Solanum lycopersicum: one gene and its partner. The main gene of each other region encodes a partner of the protein of the gene in region 2 in a complex. Links are inferred from orthologs where the notes say so. Each region holds a gene or a part of one and is shown on either strand. Other genes may lie near its edges. The genes, in order: kinetochore protein SPC24 homolog and kinetochore protein NDC80 homolog.

Region 1 (10,029 bases), on a different chromosome or scaffold from region 2:
TCCTTCGAAACTCCTTCCTGGTTGGCAAATCGATGTGAGAATAATGAACTTGGAGAAAGATATTGCTGATTTGAATATGCATATAGGTGAGGAAGAAGTTGCCGAATTGACTAGGCATATAGGTGATCAAAAGATTACACAAAAGAGAAAACTTGGTGAGACTGAGTCCTCTGGTAGTTTCAGCAACAAAGAAATGAAACCCTCGCTTTTTCCAAATCCAAATCCATGGCCTCCACAACAACATAGAGTTGTTAATCATGTTGATGACAGCAACAGCACCTTGTTAGAACGCAGTGGAACTGCCAGCCAAATTTATGGTTATTCTCTGGCCCCGTCGGTATTGCATCAAACTGTTGCAGGCTCAATACATCAAAATGCTGTTGGCTCACTGGCAGGACCTGTGGGAGGTGTTGTGGCCATGGATGGAGCTGGAGCAGGTAATTTAGTGAAAGGAGGTTCATGTGTTGGAGTTCATGGAGGGACTCTAGTTGATCATACACCTAGTCAAATAGGAAGTCATACTGGTCAGTTATATGGACCCCCTGGTGATGCACACACCTATGCTTATAGGTCGCCATCCTACTTTGAAGCATCGGGCTCTATGGGGTTGCCAAACACCATGCCTGGTGATGCTTATAGGCCTCCACCATATTTGGAAGGCTCTATGGGGTTGCCAAACAACATACCGGGTGATGCTTATAGGCCAAACCAATACATGAAATGCTCCAACGGCTTGCAAAAAAACATATCTGGTGATGCTAATCAGCCTCCACCATACATGGAAGGCTCTGCACGGTTGCCAAACACCATACCTGCACCATATCAGTTTGCTGATTCTGTTCCATCTGCTGCCCTTGCTCATCCTTCACCCTCCTTGTACTGGAAGAGATAGTTTTGCATTGGGCAGGCATTATTTCTAACGTAGTTTCCCTTTTGTAGTATACCCAATCTAGAATTGATCTCGCACGCATGGTCTTGGAGAAGGTTGTAGTTCATTAGCTACTATAAAGCTCTGGTGAATGTTCGGCCTAGCATAGTGATGTCTAAATTCTACCTGGAAAACTTTCATTTGTTTGGAAAGATTTCAAAAATTACAATAATTTTTTAAAGAGGTAAAAGAGATAAATAACTTATCGACTTCCCTTTGGTTTCTCCTCCCTTCCAACAAACATGATCTTCTAACAATCTTGTTTTCCCTTTTCCTCATCCAGTCCAGCAGGTCACAATGGTTCCTTGGAAAACCCAAGGTCGTAGGTTCAATTCCTCAAACACGCATCTTCCTTTTTTCCTAGTGTGACATTCTTGTAAATTTTCGCCTGAGATGAGATTAAATGAAGAAACAAGAATCGTGAGGATACATATGATGTTTGTTGTTTTGATGGTCTGTTCAATTGTTGACTGTGGGCATGTGCACTTGTATATGTTGTTTGTCTCTCTCTCCATTCTTACGAGTAAGTGTTGGACCTGCATCTTTTTATTTGCTCCGTTGATGTTATGAAATGATATAGTTCTTGCATTTAGCTTAAATGTGTCAAAATTTTAGATTTTAGTCTACCCAAGGTTGTAGTTTATTGCTTGGTGTGAATTGTTTGATCTTTGGCCATCAGCCTTTGAGTCTGACATGATTTGCATATCTATTGTCTAGAAGATATATTCTGAAGTTGACCTTCGACTTATGAATCAATCCTTTTGATTTGGGATTTGGGGGATCAATTTTAATGTTTGTTTCTATGTTGCTTAGGTAGGTGGTCGAATGTGTTATGTTTCAATTGCTGTGATGTAGAACAGCTGAAGGTGGTTGAGTATGTTATATTCAATTTCTTTTATTCCTAACTTCGCATTTTAGTTTATGGGCTTGCAGATATGCATCATATGGAAACCACATTTACTTGATTTGTTTTATTTCTGTGTTGAAGTTTGACTTCATTTAAGTGTCACCAAATGTCTGTTTTTATATGCAGTTCAGCTGTTACAATATTTTTGTTGCTCCTGAAGTCAAATTTTTTGCTTGTTCATAAATGCACCTTTACATTTCCTTCTGGTTACAGGGGGAGTCTCTGCCTTTGTGAGCTTGCTCACATTGTAGGTCCTAAGTAGACAACCAACAGTCATTATAATACAAGATAAGATGGGCTAAGATGCATTGACACAGACGGTGAGAATTTACTCAAACAGATCTCAACTTGCTCAGATTGAAGTTTAGTTGTTTTTTTTTGTTACGGGGGGAGAGATTGATGGGCAAACCTTGGCCTGAACACTGATTGTGAGAATTTGCATCTGTTTCCACTGTTTTTTACACAGCATTTGTGACTTTTGGCTTGAATGAGATGTATAAGAGAGACAACAGATCAACTATTATGTATGAATTGAAATTGGGATATCAGCAATGCCCCAGATATAGTCATATGAGAATTTGTAGCATATTTCTTTCTTGTAACATTTATGTAAAATCTTACAGCTTCCTATTGATCTCCACAATGCATTTTGTACTTTTACAATTGCTTGAATGGCCATATGAGGTATAAAATCTTCATAATGTTTAACGTGCTAGCTCGACTCTCTTATCATACTGTTGCTGTATTTAGTGTGGTGAAATATGTGAGCAATTCTTTCAATGTAATGGAATGATGATGGAATATTGAGAAAAGCTTGCGCAGTTACATATCAATGTTGCAAATTGGATTTTGCTACCTAGCAAATGTTATTAGTTGATTTTCTCCAATTTATAACTTTACAGACTGAGACTTGTGAAAGCATTAGAAATGATTTGGATTCTGAAACAACAAATATCATGTACAAAATACAAGATTATACTTCAAATGAAACACACTATAATGCAAAATGGCAATGATATCTAGTATGATTAGATTAAAAATCTGATCAGCAAAGGCAATAAGGTACTCTTAACAATGCAAGTCATAACTAAGCCTGAGCAATGCTGCTTCTTACAAATTAATCATCTTCCAGATGTTGTTACAAGTGTCAAAGGCAGTTTGATTTGATGAATCAAACTCGAAATTTTCAACCACCTTCTTATCTCTCTCCACAATATCTAGAATAGGTCAAGGTGAACTAAATTGCTGCACAATCTCGAAAAAACAGACACAAGGTGAATTTAGAAAAGGATAAGAAATGTTAGCTTAGCAAACAAAGTAATTAGGATACGGCCTGATATTTTGGATTGATCATCCAAGTCCGGGATGATACTTGTGACAGAAGCATACAGTGATAGCTTCATCCTACAAAATAAGATGAGAAAATTGCTCAAAATTAAACAATATACGTGAAACAGCCCTTAAAGAAGATGCATTACAAACAATAGTAGCTAGAGAGAGACAAGGAAAGATCACACTAAATATTAACACAAATTACCAAACATCAATCGCACACTGGGAATAAAACTTTCATACTAAGCATTTTAAAGAGAAAGAAAGAGGAAAAGGAACTTTCTGGATAAAAACACTGGTATCCCTGCAACAGGATATTCTGCGAGCGGCTGTGTGTCTACAGAGTGTAAGCTTCTAAAGAAAAAAAGTAAAACGTCTAATAAATTTCAATCCTCGCATGATGTTCATGTAAAACTGCAGCAGAGGTAAACCTTAAAAAATTACTACTCCTTCAGTTCCAAAATTAGGTGATATAGTTTGAATAGTCATAGAGTTTAAAAGAGAAATCAAGACTTCCTAAACTTGTGGTCTTAAACATGTCATAACATTTGTGTCTATAGAACTTTTGAAACTTGTGGTCTTAAAAATGCCATAAAATCTGGATGGTCATAAAAGCTTTTCATTAAGGGTCAAATGGGAAGTGTAAAGTTAATTGTTTACAAATTTAGAAATGTGTTATTCTTTTCGGAACGGGCTAAAAAGAAAAGTGTATCCCATAAAGTGGGAAGGAGGGGTATGTTTGGTTGCGTCCAGACAAAGTCAAATCAGGTGTATATTCAATTTGTAGAAATACTTAGTTGGGCGATAGTTACACCTAGACATCCAAAGATGTAATGTGGTAGAACTTGGTCGCACCAGATGGGATGTTAATGGACTATCTTAACAGTGATTGGCATATGGCAGATACATTCAAATATGTGTACCATGTTGCAATATGGAACTGAGTAGGCAAATTATCCACAGAATATGATGAAAACATGTCAGACCCTCCCAACCTCTTGAGATACTTTGACAGCATAAAGTTGCAAAAGCTTAACGAGTCAACATATCAATATCTTTTTCTTTTTTGATGACCGAGAAACCTCAAGGGCCAGCAGGCACGGTTTGAACTTAGAGGATGAGGAGGAGTCAACAAATGCCACGATGGGATTGTTTCAACGAAATTTGTAGAAGTATGTTGGAAGCAAATGCCTGACATAATCATAAACATATTAAAGTACAAGAGGTTATGATTACTTACTCAGCTCGAAGATGATCTTGCTCAATTTTCTTGAGCAATTTCCTGTGCTCCTCAATAGAGTCTCTTTGGCGATCTAAATCATTGATCTCATCGGTTATAACTGTGTTTAAAAAAGGTGTCAATCAGTAAGCATAACACTAAATTATCTGAGAAATACAAATTCATGCATCTAACGTTGTTTAATATACTTATCTAAGTTCTTCTCTAAGCAGTTGTTCTCTCTGGATCTCCTGTTCTAACTCTTTCTGCAGCTTATCTATTTCAGCCTCTGCAGCAGCTTCAGATTGTGCTTCTGTTGTTCTCTGCTTACATGCATTTATCTTTCCTTGATAATCTGAGTGTATGCAATGACTTGAAATTAGTCATTTAATACTTTCAAATTCACAAATCCGAACATCTCCCAGTACAATCATAAATTAATGCTTGAACAAAGACACTTAATACCAACATAATTCCAATTTCCAACTTATTTAATAAGAAAAACAACATGTATGTCTGAGGCCAGAGAGAAATCATAGGAGCAGGGTTGGGCCCTCGAAAGGAACCAAAGTAGTGGTCTGTTGAGCTAATCATTAAACTAGACACACGTACTGGGCCTCTACATATTTTTGCATTATAATTGGCTAAAAGGACTTCAACTCGGAAACAAACTGCACCAAAAGTAGAAATATCACCAAAACTATCAGGAATAAGTAGGTAATAGCACCAATTTTTACACTATATATAGTACATTCCAAAAAAATCTCATGAGGGTTGGCGTGAGAGGATCCAGATTCCAGCAGTAGTACTCATGAAGGTATAAAAGACAGAGACAGAGACTCCACACTCCCCAAAATGTTACTAATAAAAGAAACATCCAGAAATGACGATATTTTGCAAGAAGAAATTTTGACCTGACACTCCAGTAAGCTAGCAAACAGAAAATGGTGTTTCAGGTCAACGTTAAGAGACTTATCCACTAATAATTGGTACTAAGAAAAAGAATCATCCAGATGCAAGAACATTGTAAAGTTTGTCTACATTGATTCAAAATTCCAATCTTACGCCGAGTTTTTTTTTCACTACATAGTTTTTAAGGATCCAGGAAGATCCTATTGCGTCGTGGTGACCCTGAGGTTTGAACTATGCACTGTGGTTCAACTTACAGCCTCAAGGCAGATGTCCCTTGGGTTCAATCTTTAAACTAATTAAACTAATAAGAAGTTGATTCAACCCCCATTTTTCTCTTTCATTAAAGGAATGTTACTGAATGAAACATCCAAAAAAGATATCACTAAAAAGCAAGGTTTCAAGTGTAAAGAAGTATCTATAAAGCAGAAGTGCTACGAGGAGTAAAGAAACTGCATTAAACAGCAAAGCACATTGTAAACTCAGTCTATATCAGATTAAAAGTTGCAATCTTTAAGCCAATGTTTTTTCTCTCTCACATTGTTCATAGGAAGTAGGGAAGGTCCAGTCAGGCACTACTAAGCTAGTATGAGTGACACCACCGAGATCTGCAGCTTAAATTGTAACCTCCTGACCAGTAGGTTGTCTCTTGGGATAATCCATTAGCTAAGGGAGCATTTGGCCATAAAATTCAACTTGCATTTTCAAGAATTTGAAAAACACCAAAAACTTTCTTCACTCCAAATCAATCATAAAAATTCAGAAACAACCCAGAATTTGTATTCATGGCCAAACCCAACTCCAATTTTCAAATACTCACAATTTTCATGGCCAAATGCTTCAAGTAAACACAGAAAGAGGTTCACTTAGTAACCATCCTACCATTTCCAAAACAAAAATATCAAAATTCAACAGTAAGAACATTATACACACAATTCCAAAGGTTCAATCTTGAAGCTAACTTATTCTTTATCACATAGTCTTATGACTCTGAGGATTGGGGAGATCTCCAACTGAGAAAGATTCAAACTTTAAGCCACTAAGAAATTCAACAAACCCTCAATTTTACAAAATTAAAAACGAAATACAAGAACCCCACCTTGAATGGAATTCTGAAGAGCCTGGTACTCAGATTGGCAGTGTGATTGAAGGGCATTAAATTGCTCTTTACACTGATTCAAGAAGCTGACATCTTTATCTTCTTTCAAAAACTGAACAAGATCCTTACTGAAGGAGATCAGCTTCTCTACATCCACGTTATTCGACCCATCCACCATTTTCGACCTCTCCAGACCAAAGTTTAGGGCTTTTTTCTCCCTCCGAATGTAGTAATTTGAAAAGAAGAATGATTAGCGGAGTTCACAGAAAAATAGAACTCCTCCCTCCCGTTAAATTATACTATGTACTTTGTTACGTTTATTATTTTATTAAATTATTTTAAAAAATAATTTGATAAATAATATTATCATATTTAATTTGACTAATTTTTAAAATGAAATGAAATTATATTGATTTAATAATTAAATAAATATTAAAAGTATTATAAATTGCAATATCTTACCTATCTGATGAAAAATCAGTGAAATGTGAGTTAAACATACATCTTCGTTACATTTTTAAGTCGAATTAACCTTTTAGCATAAATTTATGTTTGATTTTGATAATTTAAGTATATTTTTATTAAAATATTTTACTATACTAGATAATTGAAGGCCCGTTCACGTGCTTAATATAATTAATTATCTTTTCAATTTTAATTTAAAATTTTTATCTAAATTCATATCTTATTTTATTATATTTTTTAAAATTTTCTACCATTTAAAAAAATTACAAAAATTCTCTCAGCTACGTTCTTATCCTCTGTGTACATCAATATCTCCTCTCGGATACATCTATATTCTCTCTCGGCATCTTCATCCCCTCTTTAATATATCTCTATCCTCTCTTGGATACATCTCTCTCCTTTCAGATACACCTATATTCCCTCTCGAATACATTTCTTCTCTCTCTGATTCATCCACGAGATATGTTTCTGCAAGTTTTCTGAATAATATCGCGACCGATGTTTTTGCATTTCTGTTGATGAATATATGAACTTTTTGTAATTTAAAAAAGAGTGGAGATACAATGTAATTAACTTTTAACACTATGAAAATTTATGTGGTATATTTTTCTGTGCAGTCAATTTCAAAAGAATAACGTATCAATATATTTAATAACATTTTGACTTCAAAAATATTCATTTTATTCTTAGTAAGATGATTTAAAATCATATGAACATCTATGGCTAGTTTTAAACTACAACAAAAAGTGTTTTTTTTTAAAAAAAAGAAAATACTTCATGTTAAAGTCAAATAAACATTACATAAATCAAAATGAACTAACTGACTACAAACTTTAGATCAATTTTATATTTATGAAATTTAAGTTTTTGTAACTATTTTGCCTTTTAACAAAATTTAAAATGAAAATACTAAAGTTTTTTTCACAATTATTTTTATAGTAATTTTTTTTAACAATATTTTGTCGATAATATCAAAATTGTAATAAAACAAGATAATAAAATAACTTAACTTTTTTGAAATTCAAGTATTGATATCAATTGAGAAAACATTTATTTTAAAGTTATAAAGCATTTATAATCTAATATTTGATGCGCTCCTTGCCCTCGACGAATGACACTATCTTATCATAAGAAGTAAAATCAAAATTAAAAAGTGCAGCTCACTATTATATGAAAGTCATTATGAGTTAATTGCCACTCGTTAGAATATGTCATATGTTAATTGTCATAATGAAACAACATGAAAATTATAAGAGATAATTTATTTATAGTTGAAAATTATTTATAAAAAATGAATCACAAATTATATATCAAAATATGTTTATGTCATATACATATTAATGCAAAGAAATTTCATACTATAAATTAATTTACTTATTTTAATATGTAATTTATTTTATTATGAAAATTTACAAATTTGATGTTTTATGAATTGGTATGAAGATTTTTATATGTCTTCATGGAAAGTAGTTCTTTATTTTATAATATAGAGGAATATTACTTAAAATAAGTTATCACGTCAATTAACCATATTAGTTGTAATATATTAATATAATTTTTTTAGAAGAAAATCACGTAAATCAATTTTCTAGGTCTTGACAAATCAGTAATTTTGAATTACCTTTAGATTTATAAAAATCATTAGTATGTTGTAAAAACAAAAATTTATCCTACATTTGGTTAATAGATATTTTTGATTTAATGAAAATTTTATTACTATATAAAAAATAAATCTATAAGAAGTGTAACATTTCATTAAAATAGACTAATTATTAGTCTATATTCGAAAAAATTTAAGAAAAAGTGTAATTGAAAATGTGTGTTCATATTAGATGTCACGTCATTAAGATAAATATGACATTTAGAAAAACATATTTGATTGGTTGGTCATTACAAATCTATTATCACTTTTTTGATATCATAATACAGAAACCAACATTCTAGAATTTTTATAAATTGATAAATTTATCCTTAGTCGTCCTCAACTTAGCTCTTCTATATAATAGAAAAGAAACTGATATATTTTTAAATGAAATGTATCTCTCTCTCATTATATTGAAGCATGACTGACAAATTTGTTTACAAATTAAAAATTTACATAGTCTCGTAATTAGACTTTCTGTTATAAATTATAATCGTAAATATAAATTTATTGGATGCTAATTAATATTTTTATCTAAAAATTATATTAAAATTTAATAAGAAAAATATATTTAGTCCGAAAATATAATACTAACAGGTCGTACATTCTCTCCGTTAGGGCTTTGATTTTTTAATTTTTTTTTCTATTGTCAATTTTTCTCACTCTCCACTACTACAGTGAATACTATGGATAAACCGGCGATTTACAGCGACGGCGACGGGGCTACACCATCATTGACCGATCAATTGTTCGGAGCAGAACAGAAAGATGAAACAGGAAACTCTTCCCGGCAGCAGAAACAGTCGGAATTGCAACAATCTCCAACATATTCTTAGGAATTGATCAATGCCAATTTCTGCAAAATCTCCGACGGTCTCTCGGCATTCCAACGATGCTTTACACCAACATGAAATTAAGTCCTTTTGTGCTACACAATTATGGTAAAACTCTCACAACATCCTGCAGCAATATATCATAGTTGAGATCGAATCAGACAGAAGATTCACCCCTCACCCTGACGTTCGGGTATGGGGAGTTGAGAAGAAGGTGATTGAAGTCTTCCTTTTATCCGGATTAACTCTATTCTGACGCTAATTGTGATTTTGACTCTGCTGTGATACATTCCTCTATTGGATGGATGTGACTTGTGACTTTGCTACGTCCATTCTTCAATTTTGTTGGCTTGACTTTATACCATAAGATACTGAGAATAAACTTTTTATGAGATTAATTAAAACCTACTTAAGGATGAATGATTATAATTAGAGCTCATTTGGGTTTTGTTGTTCATCTTATACTTCTAAGATACTTAGAACAAAATTTTGAAAAATTTGGTAACAAACAACAATGTTTAAAGAGTAATAGAAAATTAAGACTAACAGAGCAAATAGAATGAGAAACTGATTAGGAACAATATAAAAATCTTTTTCTCAAAGAAAGAAAATCGAGTTCACTGAATGCACAATGTCCCCTTAAAGAAATTATTCCCCTCAAGTATTCGAGGTTAACGGAATATATTCTCCAAGGA
Region 2 (9,828 bases):
GGACTAATTAGCACAAAGGATGAAGTGAAAAACAACTAGCTCAAGGATTAAGATACCTAACTGCATGAGACTAATCACTAGTCACAACTCACTGGAAAGAGTTTTTATAATCAGGAGCCGTTGGCCTTCTTATTCTTACCTCCCTAGTCCATACCTATTTCGTAGTATGTTCACTAGGAAACTTGCACCAGAGACAAGTTACATGTAATGAACTTACTTCATCCACTTAGTATAAGGCGAAGTTCTAGTGTAATGACAAAGGTGACTTAAAAATATTGGTTTAGGCAGCAGAATCAAAACCTTGTTAAATTTCCTACCTTTGTCCCCTCCTCAAAACTCCAAGGATTGAGTGTTAGTTTAACTAAAAGCAGTACAGAGTTCAGAAAGGAGCTTACGCAAGAAAGAGTCTGTAAAGCAAGATATTGGTTGTTCAAACCACAGGCTTGAGGGACTTGTGATATAGGTTATTCGGCAAGAGCTTAGCACCAAAACTAAGCCTAGTATTTAGAAGGGTGTGCCTATTATTCACGAGTTTCAAAGGCTACGGTTGATCCTAAAGGTCTGCTCCATGTGGAAAAATAATCGAAACAATGGCTAGTCTAAAATTGAATATTCCGAAGAAATGTCGGTAGTTAAAGAAAATTAACAAAAAGGGAAAAGAGGAAAGTCTCTGTCAATATAAGGAGGTGTTTATGTACACCAGGCTCTAATAGTAGGTGGAGAAATTGTACTGTCTCAACTCCTACTAAAGTATTGAGCAGCTCTAATGAATCCAAAAAACTACGACAATATCCCTAATCAATGCAGAATATAGTACTCAACGTTAAGAGTATGATCAGCGTATATTCTACTCTTCTCATATTATAATTATATGATTACACTGAATAAGCTGAGCAAAATTTCAAATCAGTTTTCTACTAGGTGAGAAAATGAAGAAACAAAAACATAAAAAATGGCAGTTTGTGTAGACAATAATGACCTAATAACTTGGACATGACAGGCAAAAATGGGTCCCTCTATCTATCACCATTATTTGTTTGTATTACTATCCGGACAAAAGCTTAGAGCAAATCATCCACCGCTAATTAATTATCCCTCCAATTTATACAAAATGTTTTCTAGCCCTTTTTTTTCTTCCATAAGGTCATGTCATTTATATATTCATAGTAAAAAGATTTATTTATTAAGTAACTAAATTATTATAGCAATTTAATACATACAAAACTCCCGTTCCAACCGATTCACAAAACCAAATACAAATAAAGTAGAATGGATAATACTAACCTCTACACCAGGTGAAGTAAAACCAAGGATTCGAATCTTAGCTCCGACATCACCCAATACCCGTAACTCGACCCGGTCATTCAAGGCGGCGTCACGAATCAAATCTGCTGCGTCAGCTTGGAGCAAGTTAACCCGATCCACAACGATGGTAGTTTCAACCCGCTTAACACTATGAGCTGGCTGGTAGAACGCGGGTACGGAGCCCCGACCCAGAGGAATCCCACGGTACATGATCGTGAACCGGGACTCACCGTACTTGATCCCTACTTTATTATCATTGAAAGCAGTGAAAACCATACGAATATTGAGTGAAACAGAGGCGGAGGAAGTTGCAATCGCAGCTGGATTAGGTGTAATTCCGACGTATTGAACACCCACTTGCTGAAGATCGAACTGGGGTTTTTTAGGCTTGACGGCAAGTACAATAACAAGTATAACAGCTAGAATGAGGAGAAGTAAGAAGGAAAAGAGTAGAAATAGGCAACAACAACAACCTTTAAATGAAGCTTTAGATGATGAAGAAGAAGTAGGATGAGGGTAATATTGAGGATGATGGTGGGTGCCATTAATACCATTTTGAGTTAATCTTGAGGTCATATTGTTTTTTGTTGTTGAAGATGAAGAAAGAATTAGAATAAGATTGAAGGAATAATTTGTACTGTATTAAGACCCACCACTCTCTTCTCTCTAATCCCTTTTTCAACTTTGCTTTGCTTTAGGAGAGAGTGAAGATGGAGGGAGGGACAATAGTGTGTGTGTGTGTGTTTGCTTGGAATTGAAAAAAGGTGGCATCAAAGTGGGGTAATTTTTTGACTTTGCATTCTTGCCATTATTGTTTTTGGTTCTTTCTTTCTCTTTCCCCTTTGTTCTTTACTAATTGTATTACTTATTAAATCTTTTATTTATTTGGAAATTTGAAAAGAAATTATAGGGTTAGATTTATTTCTATTTATTCTAATTTTAATGGACATGGTTAATTACCCTAATATGATAGTTATTGTCAGTGGAAGGTAATATTATTTTATGAAATTATTTGAGGTGGATGAAGATTGATATGAATATTATAGTTGTTAAAAAAAAGGAGAAATAATGATTAGAAAACATTGATTTGAATGATGAAAAAAGTTATTAATATTTATATTAAGATATATTGTAGTAGTTATTTTTATATGATTAGTTTCAATTATAAATGAGTTATTAATATTTGTATTAAAAATAACTTGACTGTTACTAGAATTTTATTTAATATTACATTGTTCATGACGGTTTGATAGAAAATAAGATTATTTTCACGTTATTTTAAATATTTTTATTTTATATTTATGTCTTTTAGTATACTTACATATTCGTTTTCATATTTTTATTTTCGTCACTCCATCTTTCAACATGCGAGTTTTTGACTAACTAGTATTTTGCTTTTTACATCAAAATCGTTCTCTAATATAACTATCATTTTGTAATTAATTTTAAAATTTTTGGTGATATATATCTACTTATCACACAAAACTCTATAGACGACCATTTTAACTCCTTTTTTTTTTTTAATTTTGTTTAAATAGCGTAGAATCTCAAATTTGAACATTTACCCAGCTTATTTCATGTCTAGTTTAAATTACTAGTTAATTCTAAAATATCTTTTATACTAATAATAATGAAACTAATTAAAAGTGTTTATTATTGTAAAAGTAAATAGACGTTTAACTAATACTGAAATCTTTTCTATTGTGATTAATTAAGAGAAGCTTTATTAATGAAAAGTTAATCACGTTATTGGAAAGGGAGAGATCTATTAGATGATAAAGTGGCACATCATGATATATATATTTATTTATATATAGAGAGAATACGAAGTGTTATAAATAATATAAGTTTAATTGATTTATTAAAATGGAATAGAAGGAGGAAATTTTAGGTAAACTTTTTTTTCTTTGCCAACATGACCCTTCTACCTCCCTCTGTTAAACGATAATTATTTATCATAGTCTTCAGACAAATATTTAAAAGTAATAAATAATTGATGAAATTTTATCAAATTATTTTAATAATATTTCTTCCATTTCAATTAATTAAATTGATGAGATATTTCATACATTTAAGATTTTTTTTTAATATAAATTAAGCATAATTTTTTATTTTTACTCTTATTAATTATTATTAAATTTATAATTAAAATAATTAAATATTAATTAATAATTAATTTCAATATTAACTAATGAAAGGTAAAATTGGAAGAACATTATAATAATAGTTTTGAAAATTAAACAATTAAGTTAATTGTAAAATAAGAAAATGTTTTAACAATTCAATTAATTTGAAATGAAGGGAGTTCAAAATATTAAAAAAATAAAAGTAATATTTAATAATAAGAACAAAATAAATACAAAAGAATAAATTATTGATTAATTTTATAAATCAGACAAGTATCATTTAAATTAAATTAAGCAAAAGGTAACATGCAATACCTTTTTAGGTAAATAAACTACTCCTTCAACTTTGACGAAAATCAATGTTTAGTTGACAAATTTAAAGGATTGAAATTTATAGGCCTACGTAAATAGATTTTTAAATTTGGTGAGTTTTTTTCCTTAGATATCTTAACTATATCATTTTTTTATTAAATTATTGAATCATTCATAATTTGTTCTTTTAGAATATTGTTAGTTGATTTTGATCGGCTTTTTAATTGTAAATGTTTTCAATTGTGTTCGAATTGTAATAATTTTGATTGAAGAAATAAAGATAAAATCGTGTTTGTCTCATTTATTTTCTAATGTATTCAAATGACCTAAATAAAATACAATTGTTCTCGAATATTTTCATTATTAATTGAACTAATGAATTGTGAAACAACGTATGTATCCTTTATTAATATCCTTTAAAAATCTGATTTCACATCAGATATGAAAATTTTAATTATTTAATAGGAAAATAACGTAGTTGAGATATATGAGGGGTGAAAATCCAACATGATACGTCTATTTGGCCAAATTTATAAACAGCATAATTAAAAAACAATTAAACCGAAATTCTAATTGAAATGCCGCCATTACTCATTTTCCAATTTCAAAGCAGAAACACAAGTACCTTTCACTAGCCACCGAGATCAAGCAGCAGTTTACTCAACAATGAGAGGCGCCGGACGCCGTCGTACCAATTCTGCAGTGCCGGATCGCCGTCATCCACCACCGACTCCGATAAACGACCCAAGGCAATTTATCTCCACTGGCGGGCGTGATTCCGACGCAAGCTTCGCCAGTAGCCGGCCTTCATCTGCCGGTGTAAACACTCGGTCCTCCGCTATCCCCATCTCTGACCGCTCCTATCAACTCTCTGCTCTGCGTACAATCAATGCTTACCTTTCCTCCCACTCTCTCCCTTTTACTCTCAAACATCCTCTCCCTTCTGCAAAAGATATCACCGAAACCCTAAAATTCATTCTCTCTCGTTTCGGATTTTCCTTAGCAGAGTCGCATAAACTCGAAGATGATCTCCAAACCCTACTGAAATCCCTAAATTGCCCCGTGAAATTGAACAAATCTGCATTACGCGCCCCTGGGACGCCTCATTCCTGGCCTAGTCTACTTGCAGCAATTCACTGGCTTGTTCAGCTATGTAAATTTGATGATTACCGGATGAGTTCGGCTCAACCACTAGCTCCGAGTAATAAGGAATTGAGATATACTGTAGAGAGTTATTTGCATTACTTTAGGGGGAAAGATGATCAAGTAGATGAATTGGATCGCCAATTTATGCAAGAGTTGGAACAACATAAGGAGCGGTTGGTTGAGGATGTGAATGTCTTGGAGGAGAATGTGAAGGCTCAAGAGGAAAAGTTGGAAGAAATGAAGACAGGACCATCGGAAAGAGAGACGTTGGAGAAGGAGAAGAGTGCGTTGGAGGAAGATGTAAAGAAGTTTCAGGCTATCATTGAACAGTTAGAAGGGCATATAGTGAAAATGGATAAGATGGTGGAAGAGAAAGAAAAAGGGTTAGAGACTAAGGTTACAGAGAAAGAGAGCATTTGTGCAGAGAATGAGGAGTTGAAGAAGAGGGTGGAGGAACAAGGGATTAATTCCAGGGATGCAGATAGGATGAAGAGGGAGTTGCATGCTTTGGAAAGGGATATTGGGGATATTGAGAACCAGAGGATTGAATGGGAGGAGAAGGCTTGGGACCTCGACTCTGCGATTGGGAACATGTACAAGAAGCTTGAGGAGCTAATGATTGAGTGCAACCAATCTATCAGGAGGTTGTCATTCCCTCTCCTGTTATTTATGTTGTTTGAAATAAGAGTATCTTACTTTCCATTTAACAGCATGAGATTCAATATTTTTCGTAATATAAGTGTTTGTTGTTCTATGAACATGGATATATTGCATTGCTGTGCTATTTTAGTTGGACTAAAGCTATAAGAATATGGCTACTAAGATAAGATTGGAAGGACATTATATTGTTTTCCCTCAATTGATTGTTTCTATCAACATTCACTTAAGTTTAAATGGCCGTTACAACATGATACTGTTAGATTGCTTCTATAATGGGTTCTCGGCAGATAATTTAGGTGACAGATTAATGGGAATGCAATTTGCTGAAAGTTATATGTAAACTGACTTTATATCTGTGCTTCTCAGAGTTTAATTGATTCACTAACTTCCAAAAACATGCCTTTCTTTCTCTAATGGGTAGTGAATTGTTAGCTACGGTGATATATGAGAATCACAATTTAGCCCATTGTTGTAGTGCTGCTCCTCTAAACTTTGACTTGAGATATGAATGAGGAACACTATACTAGTCACAAGGCAATAATGCTAAGATTCTCATCATACCTTTTAGTTATAGATTCTTGAATTTAGTTTTTCCAATCACTCCGGTTAGAAACTAAGGCTGCAGCATGCCTCCATTTTTTAAAGAACAATTGATCCTTCAATGTTGTAGTCTCTGCATTAATTAGATGTATCTTGCCTGACTGGGTGCTATGTTGGAATTGAGTTCTGTATTTCCAGCTATATGACGGTCCTTCATGAAGAATATTTTTTATTCTATATTCATGTTTTTATTGTTGGATTATGCGGCAATTGATGATACACTTTTTGAATTTGGCCAAAGCATGGACGAAAACACCCAAATGCCACTCGGGAAAAAAGATTTTGTGGGAGTGTCTCTATGCAACAATCATTTCTCAGATTTCTGTGCCTTCTTGTTGCTGCTTGAAAAGTTCTTTTCTTTTCCATAGCTTATCAGATTGAACTGTTGGAGCAAATTTTCTACAATTTGATGATTTAGATCATAACTTGGGAGGGGTTAAGATTGTAAGTTTGAAACTAGATCAGTCAAAGTGAGATGGAGCAAGTATATTTTTGTATGTTTTCTGTGGTTTGCGGTGGAACTTTCCTTCTACTTGTTGCTCGTCATCATTTCCTTAATTACTCTGACAACAAACAGCCTCATTTGAAATTTCAGGTTAAAGCTTGGAAATGAATTTCAGTATCAATTGAATCCCCAAGGGTCCTCACCAGCAGAGGTATTAGGTATAAATTACAAAAAAACATTAAAGCCCACTCTTGCATCCTTTGAAGATGAGATGAAAAAGAGTTCCATGGGGAAAATGGAAGAGTTGATATATCTCCAGCAACAGTCATCTGAGAAGGCTATGAAATTAGAGTCAAAGAGGAATCGTCTGGCTACTCTTCAGGCTCACATTGATGATGTAAGTTTAGCCAGCATCCTTTCCCACTATAGAATTGGACACTGGTCCTCTCTCTCTCTCTCACACACACACACGATATTTAATTTTGTATAATATATAACATTTTATCGGAAGTGAATCTGATGACATAATAAGTGGCATTCTATCTTCTAGTGGAGATGCTCTCAGAGTCAGAGGTACCTGCACTATTTGGAAATCAAAAATGCATAAAAAATTTCCCACTTAACTGTTTTAAAATATGTACAAAAGAATGTTTTGGGTAATAATTGATACTTGTAAAATTGTTTATGATCCAAATTTTAGAATGTAATGATTTATCATGCCTCAATGAGCTGAGTTTTGAGTCTCTTCTTTTTATGAAGTGAATTAGTAGTTGATCATTTATATTAGCGCCACTGAACAGCTTCTCTTTGGCCATGGTATATTTGTGTTTCTTTTTCTTCTTGCGTGCATGCGCTGCATGCGTGTCACTGCTTAAATGTTTTGGCCTTTCAGCATTGAATTTGAAAATTAGATAAAGCGATGTTACCATTATTCACAAATTCTAATGGCATAAGGTCTATCAGCTTAAAATATATCTTCTATTAGTCCTTTGGGGACGTATAACGGTGCCTTCAGCCTAATATGGCTATTTGTTTCCTTTTATGATTAATGATAGTTGGAGGCTCAGTTGGACTTGGTAAAGAAGGAAAGACTGGACTTCACATCTAGCTGTGCAATAGAAGCCGGAAGGATAGTTGAAGAAGTTGAAGCAGAAACGCAGAAGTTGGATCAGGTTGAAAGAGAGGCGGCGGACTTCCTGAAGGTAAGGCATTTGCAATTTAGACAAGATTTATACTGTAATGCATGGCTTCTAAATGTCTTCCGACAAATGTTGACTTGTGTGGTTTCTCGTCTTAGATGTATAATCTTCATTTTAATTGGCATCTTTTTCACTTTCAAAGGCGTCCAAGGCCAAATTACAGGAAACAATCGCACAAACTGAGGAAGAAGTGCAGCTGTGTGCCCATGAACTCTTTGCTGTTGTTGATTCAGTTTCAAAATATAAAGAGTATATTACATCAAAAGTTGGCATGATGAAGAATGATCTCGCAGAAGCTGCCGGGACTATAGCAGATCTGCATAAAGCTGGTTTGCCTGTCTCTGACGCAAACCACTGATTCCTCCTGATCTTAAGTACATTATGTTTCTTCGTTTTTACTTAAAATATGGTTATGTTGGTACACCATCCCTTACAAAGGTCTACAAGTGTGTATTCCATGGTATGGTCTTAACAATTGATTAGACTGTTGCTGTGAAGATCTCATTAAGTTCTCGTCTGATCATGCTAGTCACGAAGTTGACATTTGTTATTTTGCCCACTTGTATAGTAGCACAAAATCCAGATTCAGATATGGAACCACAAGAAACTTAACTGACAACACCACGGAACACGTAGCATTTAAATTTATTGCATGTCATAAACTTTCCATGAATAATGATGTCATTAAAAGTACGTTGTGTCAACCCTGACTGAAGCAATTCTATTATGCATATAGTTCAATCTGAGAAAACTGCAGCTATAGATTTTCCTTAATTATGTCCATTCAGAAGCTTAGCAGGTTGACAAGTAGTGCATCTTCATACTGAATCTCAACCTTGGCCAATTAATCTTCACATGAGTACAAATAAAACATTCAAATATAGGTGTGTATTTGAGAGAAGTAACTTTCTTTTTCTTACTGATAAATACTACGAATAAGACACTCAGCTGATACAACAAAATCGGAAGGTTTAACATAAATAAAAGTAATCCTCATAGCGGAGCTCAGCATGACACATATAGCTGCCACAAAAGCCAACCAAACACAAAACACCACTTCTTATAAAAGCCCATTTCCTGACTAAACCTTTACGGAGATGAAAGATCCATATCTACTGCTCATCATTGTTATCAATCCGTGGATCACCATTGCCTGCATCAACTTTCACATTTTCATCACTCCTCTGGTTATTCTCATCCACTTCTAGCACATCATCCATCATATCATCCTCCACAACATTGATATCCTCAACATCCTCATCTTCATTGTTGCTGACACCAGGAATCTTTCGAGTCTTGGGTCCACGCTCAAGCCTATGAGTCTCTAGCTCTTTGTCCATAGTCTCTTGAAGGTTTGAAACATTTTTGTTGGCTCTCCTTTCTAAAATATTTTTCCATTCCTCCTCAGCTTTTGCAATATTCTGTTCAGCAATTTTTTTCTGGTATTGCGACAATTCCTCTCTCCTTGCAGCTTTCCATTCCTCGAATATCTGATGAGGAAAAATAAAAGTCAAGTGTCTGTCAGCATAACACATGTCCACATAATCAATAAGTCCTGAGGCTCTTTGATGTGTTTTCTAACACTCAAGTCTCACATGCTCAGTCAACTATAGAATTCACACCACTGCATTCAGTACTCCCCCCTCCCCTATCCACAAACACAAGTGCATTCCCATAGAAACTCACACTACCAAAGCTACAGGGTTAAATAAACATAATTTTCTGCCACCTAAACAAATAATTTCTGTTCACAACTCATGCATTGTGGATTTTCAATTTTCTATCCATTTGGAAGTATTTCATTCGTATATAACGCAATCAAATGTGTGCAGCTTGATAGTTACCTGATCTTTTCTCTGCTCAAGTAAGGTTGAATCTTCTTCCAATGGTTTGGCAAAAGAATAAAAGATCGGGGGCTCGGCTTTGGTCCTGGAAATTAACACAGCCAAAAAATATAAAGAGAAATTATGAACTGTTACCAGGATAGATAACTGATCAGCCTACACTGCTGCAAAGAGGGATTTTGCAGTCATTT

The links.
Region 1: kinetochore protein NDC80 homolog (region 2) and kinetochore protein SPC24 homolog share a complex: the UniProt entries of both Arabidopsis thaliana proteins name them as parts of the NDC80 complex. The link is inferred for Solanum lycopersicum from reciprocal best matches to the Arabidopsis thaliana genes AT3G54630 and AT3G08880.

The regions. Positions count from the first base shown.
Region 1 is NC_090803.1:60,963,108-60,973,136, forward strand, and holds kinetochore protein SPC24 homolog, read right to left. Parts: upstream 6,685-10,029; 5' UTR 6,573-6,684; coding exon 6,395-6,572; intron 4,742-6,394; coding exon 4,599-4,741; intron 4,509-4,598; coding exon 4,408-4,508; intron 3,240-4,407; coding exon 3,166-3,239; intron 3,053-3,165; coding exon 2,946-3,052; 3' UTR 2,746-2,945; downstream 1-2,745. Other genes in the region: protein FRIGIDA-like, read left to right, coding at 1-892. UniProt on the Arabidopsis thaliana protein: Acts as a component of the essential kinetochore-associated NDC80 complex, which is required for chromosome segregation and spindle checkpoint activity to ensure proper cell division. Required for the maintenance of plant architecture.
Region 2 is NC_090800.1:89,050,967-89,060,794, reverse strand, and holds kinetochore protein NDC80 homolog, read left to right. Parts: upstream 1-4,286; 5' UTR 4,287-4,409; coding exon 4,410-5,533; intron 5,534-6,744; coding exon 6,745-6,991; intron 6,992-7,649; coding exon 7,650-7,796; intron 7,797-7,935; coding exon 7,936-8,151; 3' UTR 8,152-8,313; downstream 8,314-9,828. Other genes in the region: NDR1/HIN1-like protein 26, read right to left, coding at 1,285-1,881; uncharacterized protein, read right to left, coding at 8,906-9,283, 9,638-9,722. UniProt on the Arabidopsis thaliana protein: Acts as a component of the essential kinetochore-associated NDC80 complex, which is required for chromosome segregation and spindle checkpoint activity to ensure proper cell division.